Neurospora crassa OR74A: one gene and its partner. Each later gene encodes a partner of the first gene's protein in a complex. Links are inferred from orthologs where the notes say so. Each region holds a gene or a part of one and is shown on either strand. Other genes may lie near its edges.

The links.
Region 2: the proteins of NCU02357 (region 1) and NCU03246 are in contact, whole or in part, in a crystal structure (PDB 4ZJ7), measured with the Saccharomyces cerevisiae proteins. The link is inferred for Neurospora crassa OR74A from reciprocal best matches to the Saccharomyces cerevisiae genes PSE1 and CDC14. Residues at the interface, in NP_014039.1 of Saccharomyces cerevisiae: Arg349, Asp353, Ser392, Ser393, Glu396, Cys429, Asn430, Gly433, Gln434, His470, Ala473, Ala474, Val476, Asn477, Gln512, Thr515; in NP_116684.3 of Saccharomyces cerevisiae: Gly547, Ser548, Ile549, Lys550, Lys551.

The regions. Positions count from the first base shown.
Region 1 is NC_026507.1:2,762,015-2,764,436, reverse strand, and holds the end of NCU02357 (importin subunit beta-3), read right to left. Parts: coding exon 1,427-2,422; intron 1,375-1,426; coding exon 1,164-1,374; 3' UTR 773-1,163; downstream 1-772. UniProt on the Saccharomyces cerevisiae protein: Functions in nuclear protein import as nuclear transport receptor. Serves as receptor for classical and arginine/glycine-rich nuclear localization signals (cNLS and rg-NLS) in cargo substrates.
Region 2 is NC_026501.1:5,042,222-5,046,134, forward strand, and holds the start of NCU03246 (tyrosine-protein phosphatase CDC14), read left to right. Parts: upstream 1-907; 5' UTR 908-1,453; coding exon 1,454-1,511; intron 1,512-1,731; coding exon 1,732-2,034; intron 2,035-2,095; coding exon 2,096-3,699; 3' UTR 3,700-3,913. Other genes in the region: NCU03245 (hypothetical protein), read right to left, coding at 54-85. UniProt on the Saccharomyces cerevisiae protein: Protein phosphatase which antagonizes mitotic cyclin-dependent kinase CDC28, the inactivation of which is essential for exit from mitosis. To access its substrates, is released from nucleolar sequestration during mitosis.

The DNA of each region.
Region 1 (2,422 bases):
TATAAGTACTGTCAGAAAAAAAAAAAAAAGAAAAGGCACATTGCGAACCCACAATGTCCACGACGGGGGGGCCCGACCACTTAGGTACCTAACCAATCGGTAGGTAAACCAAACAATGATAAACAAGTTGCTCCACCAAATGACGTCGATTGTCGCACTTTTTGATTATTTCTCAAATAGACTAGGTAGAGAAAGGTATAATAGCCTCACACCCCCCTGGATGGACACTTGCGTATTATAGTGTACAGTACTAGGGCAAGATGATGTTTTTGGAGTACACCTATCGGATGGCAATAGACCTCGAGTACATAACCTTGCCGGTAGCGTAATACAGACATATGTAGTGTACACACACAAACGTAGAAAACAGCCAAGGTACAGATAGTGTCAGAGGGATGATGATATGACCATGGCACACAATTGAAAGTTGTAGTGTCCTATGCACCCATTCCCGTTCAGAACGGGGGACCCGGACCCAAGGTTTGTAAAATTGGTGTGGCTGCTTTAGTTGGACCCCAAAGAAAAGACCCCTGATCAGCCTCCATCTGGGTATGTATCGAGGGTACCATGTAGACTACAATGCCATACTGCAGATACCCGCCGCTATCAGATGCTGGTGGTCCATCAACTCCATTGTATTCTACCTATTCAAGGACCCTCGAGTACCTGTGAGCTTTTCCAACCAAAGACGCAACACATGTGCTCATGTAGCAGTAGCAGAGATCCAACCCTCCGATCTCTCCTGTATCCCACCCAAACTACTGGTAAAAGGCAAGATTGGAACGATCCATGTTACTTAGGTATCCTAGTCATTTACAAGTGTTTATGTGATTTTATACGTGTGTGATAAATGGTTACGTGCGCCGAAGGAACGTTATGGTGTGCATGGTATCTCCATCAAATTCACATTTCCGCTTCGACTCCTCTCGCCTTCTTCCCTACATGACCAAGGCCATCAACAGCCTGATTGCGTGCTCAAGTATTTCTCCACGCTCTTACCATGATTTCCCTACCAGTTCCTGTCGATCCCTTCTGGTTCCATGCCATCTATATCCTGATTTCCAAGTAGATCACCATCTTCCTAAGTCGACGTTTTGCTTTTCCTTCTCCTACGTCCATCAGCGATGTCATCTCTCTTCCACAGCCACTACCTCCGACACTTCTTAACTGCTAAACCGCTCCCGAATCAACTGCTGAGATTCGGGGCCAAATTGCTGCAGTACGGGGTCGGGCGAAGTACCGGTTGCTTGCAACAGGCTCTTGACAGCGGCAATCACGCGCGCGAGGGTCTGTCCGCTCAAAACGTCCACCTCAAGCGCCTGTGCGACGTAGTAGAAAGCTTTAGCGGGTTGCGAAATAACGACAGGATGTTGCCTATTTGCGGGTCAGTCGTTTCCAGTTCGCCATGTCAGGACAAGAGACTTACTTTTCAATCAGCTGGGTCATGAAAGCATACGCATAGGGCGCCGCTTCCTCGTCGTTCAAGACCGGCAGAGTCTCAAACCACTGTGTCGCAACCTGGTCGGGGTTGGCGACTTGAGAAGAGTTGAAATGCAGAATCTTGGCGATGGCAGCGCAGGCATTCTCCGTAGCGTACACATTGTCCTCGTTGCGCGCATCTGGGATCTGCGTAGCCTTGAAGAGAACTTCGACGGCTTGGCCCACCAACGGCGCCCAAGCCTGGCCGCCATGGTGGGCAGCCACACCGATGCCATACGCAGCCGCTTGACGAATAGCGGGAGAGGCATCCTGGCAGCCGAGGAGCAGAGGCTCCGAGATATACTGGGCGTAGTGAATGCTCTCAGCACCACAGTATTCTAGAACATCATCCATAATGCACAGTCCCCACTGTCGCTGGGTGGTATCATTCGAGCTCAAGAAGCTGCTGTAGGTGGGAAGCAGGCGGCTCCAAGCGCTCAAGAAGCTTGCGCCGTGGTACTTGAAAACAGCATGGAACGCCTTGTTCATGTCCGAAAGGAGAGTCTGGTCATCCTCAATGGCCATCTGCATCTCTTCCGACTCGTCCTCGCCATCTTCACCTCCTTGCTCCTCCTCACGAGCGGCTGCCCGATCCTTGTAATCCTCAAGAGTGGAGTGGACACCGTCGATGAAGCGGCCCATGTGCGTCTCATCGAGGCAGGCAGTGCCGATGACCTCGATGGACTCATAGAAGCATTGATACATCTCCGCGAGCGTATCAATGGCAGGCTCGGCGCTAAGAACGTCGAGGAGCTGAACGACGGTGCTGGTCCACAAGCCCTTGAGCTCGTTGGAGCCGGGACCGTACTGCTTCTTGTATGAAATGAGCAATTGCGGAACTAGCTTCGCAGACATGTACCTGACAGGATCGTGGAAGAAGAAGGCCAGACCAGGAAGAGCAATCTTCTCCATGATGTCTGCGACATAAGGCGCAAAGTCACCC
Region 2 (3,913 bases), on another chromosome or scaffold:
TCAAAACATATCAGAACAAGGAATGAAGTAACAATCAAAAACAAATGACCTACAGCGAGCAGGGGAAGTTATCGTCGGTTGCCATGGTTGCGGTCTTTAATAACCCCGAAGTAAACACTTGCAAGAAATATGTTGTCGTGAACCAAAGGGTTTCAGACTGGCACTCGCCTAACGGTTGTCAGGGGAGTTTGTGTGGTAAGCGCTACCCGATGACGAATGTCAAATTCCAACCGCCGCGAGTGTGCCTGGGCTGTGATGACCGATAACAGGCCCTTGTGGGAAACTCTGTAGGAACCTCAAACTGTATCTCACACTGGCAATTCCGCAGTGATGTTACTATCGTCTACAGTTATCGCAAGGTCGTAGGCGGCAGGCTGGCTGAACAGGGAACGAGTTTCGATATTCGGTTGTTGCCGTGTGCTGGGCGCAAAGGCATCATGGCGGCTTTACAGAAAAAGGACAAGCTCCGGCAACACCTCCCTCTCTACCTCAGCTGGAAAGTGGAGCTCTGGGGGGGGATCTCCCGTCAGAGCGAAGCGATTGGATGTTACTGGTCCAGGCGCGACTGCGGATGCCAAGAGAGAAGGTTGTCAGGACAACGGCGGGTGAGATGGAGCTTTGAACGCGCTTATTGGGCGGTGAATTGTTTTGGAAGATACCAAGCCCCCCGAATTCTTCGCTGGCCCACGCTAAACCCCGGGCGCAGGCAGAGCGGTCGGGCAAGATCAGTTGCGACTTGGAGGCGGTCTCTGCATGGAAGGTGAGGTGAAGGTCTCGCTCGTTCTCCGGTTCGCCAGGGTCCCTGCCAATGACAATACACACACGACATACAACCTTGCCAGCAAAAACACCGCTCTTGGTAAGTACCGGTAAAGGCCGTACCTGCTACAAAACCTGTTCTCCGCAACCAGCTCATACCCACCGGTCTTTTCTGACCTCCTCCTCTCGCACATCATCATCGAGTTGCCCACTCCTTTGTTTCTTCAATTCTCCTGCCTCCGGTGCCTTCGTTCTTTACAAGAATTGCATTCTCGCAGCCGGTGTCCTCTCGTCCTTCTTTGGAGGCTTTGGCCCTTGTTTTTGGCCCTTTCATCCCACCCCGCACCTGCAGTGCAGTACACAGTCCCTTGCCTCGCGGTATAGCTACCTAGCCCAGCTTGGCTGCTTGGTTTTCCCTTGTTGGCACACAATCGCTCGCGCAAACGATCTGCGATCTCGACCTCACCTTCTTCCCGTCAATCAATCCGACCATAATTTTGGCCGACCTCAAGTACAGCCCTCAAACGACAAAAGATCGAATTGGACTTTAACATCCTTCGCTCCCGCCTCCCTATACGTAGCTCATTGCATTGCACAGCATCACTATTCCCGTACGTGCGCCTGCGCATTGTCGCAACGCCAATCGCTCTCTCGACATAAACAGTCGACTTTGAGCCTCCCAGGCCACGACGCCATGGCTCCTTCCTCCAGACACTCCAGCAATCTGGGGCAAATCATCGAGTACATTCCCGGTACGTGTAGATTATTTGTGCGCCGCTCCGGTCCTCTTAATTGAAGCTACAATTTTTTTTTTGTTTTGCTTCTGGCTCCGTTGTCCGAAAACTCCATGTTTATGATCCACCCGCATCCCATGTTCACCGCTCCGCAACGGAGCTGCTCGTCCCAATATGAGCACCTTTGAATATCCTCTACAATATCAGCAATTGCCTTACAGTATACTAACCTTTACAGACCGATTGTACCTTGCATCTTACTCTGAACCTCCTACCGAGCATACCTTGTTTCCCTACCCGGATCCTGAACCACGGTCCCCGCGCAAGCGCTCTCAACGAACAATCGACCAGGTCACGGAGCGTAAGAAGCCATACTACTTCACTGTCGACGATACTCTTCTATACAATGCCTTCCACCACGATTTTGGCCCGTTCCACATCGGCCACCTTTACCGCTTCGCCCTGCAGTTCCACGAAATTCTTGGGGCCAAGGAGAACAAAGACAGGCCGGTAGTGTTCTGGAGCAGGGCCGATCCACGCAGTAGGTCATCTAAGTCCGCCTCCTCGAGAACAGCAAAGATTGCTGACCAATGTTACCTTAGGTCGTGCCAATGCCTCTTGTCTACTAGCTTGCTACATGGTTTTGATCCAATCGTGGCCTCCGCATCTAGCTCTTGCGCCGGTCGCCCAGGTTGACCCCCCTCTAATGCCGTTCAGAGACGCCGGCTACAGCCAGGCCGACTACGGCATCACGGTTCAGGACGTTGTGTACGGCGTTTGGAAGGCCAAGGAGGAAGGCTGCTGCGTGTTGGAGACATTCGACCTTGACGAGTACGAAAAGTTTGAGAGAGTTGAGCACGGCGACTTCAACTGGATTACACCCAACTTCCTGGCATTTGCCTCTCCTCAGCATACCCCGGTTGCTCCCACCCCCGAGGGGACCGAGCAGTGGTCACTTCTGCCAAAGACCCTAGCCGCCGTCGACGCACATCCTACGCTGCCGCAGCCCTTCAAAAATGTTCTCAGGCATTTCTCGGAGCGAGACATCGGCCTTGTCGTCAGGCTGAACTCGCAGCTCTACAATCCCTCATACTTTGAAGCCCTAGGAATCAACCACATCGACATGATCTTTGAGGACGGAACATGTCCTACCCTTTCGACCGTACGGAAATTCATCCGCATGGCCCATGAAACCATCTCTAGGAAGAAGGGCATTGCTGTTCATTGCAAAGCTGGCCTCGGCCGAACAGGCTGCCTCATCGGTGCCTACCTGATCTACCGACATGGATTTACAGCAAACGAGGTCATTGCCTACATGCGCTTCATGCGCCCAGGCATGGTCGTAGGGCCTCAGCAGCACTGGTTACATCTGAACCAGGGCATCTTCCGGGAGTGGTGGATTGAGGAGCGGGTTGAGCGGAGGCTGCGCAAAGAAATGGCAGCCGCTGCCGCCGCCGCCGCTCAGGCTAACGGGACAGCGCATCCCAGCACCCCTGTCCGTGCCGTGTCGAAGACGAGTCTTGGTCGTAGCTCTAGCAAAAATGGCGTGTCCACACCCTCTAACAGAGGATCAGTTCGGACACCGCTAGGCGAGATCGATCGGGAGTCGGCGCGTGACAATCATATCGGCGTACAAGAGGATTACCTCCCCGCACCTACGCCAGGACAGCCAAGGAAGACGCAGCGGGGCGCAGTAGATCGCCAGAAAGGATATGGCCGGGGACCTATTCAGACCACTGTGGAGGAAGAACCCGTTCCCATGACAGAAGTGACAACCGAGGTGATCACAGTTCACAAGAGCTCAAGAGGGCCGAGTTCAGAGGAGGAATGGAATCTTCGAAGATCTCGGCGAAGACAGTCTGCTGCTCCAACTTCACCAGGACAACCCCCCGAACGGTCTGTCACCCACCAAACCGCTACCACGAAAACGACTGTTTATCAAGTCATGGATAATGATGCATCGAACGATATCGAGAACATTGGTACTGCCGCAGCACGAATCAAGGCCCATGACCACGCTCCACGCACTAGTTCCGCGTCTGGAGTTTTGACCAAGATACGAGGCAACACTAGTGCGAAACGCCATCCACCTGGGAGCGTCAGAGAAGCTGGTGTTCGAAAGACGAGTGGACGAGTTGGGAGTATAGGGAACTCGACAACCAGTCCGGCCGCTGTATCGGCAATGCGTAAAATAAGTGGGATGTGACCCTATTCTCATGAGTCAAAAGATTATACTTGACTTGATGTGTTACAAACGAAAGCTCGGATTCATTGGCTTCATAATTCATTTGAGATACAAAAAGAAAAGGTGCGTTCAAGAGCATAGGGTTATGCCTTTGGGAGTCTTGGGTTTCTCAGTGGCAGCAAGCAAACTTGGAGCATTCAGCGAGCGAGATGCAGCATACTGTTTTAACCATCAC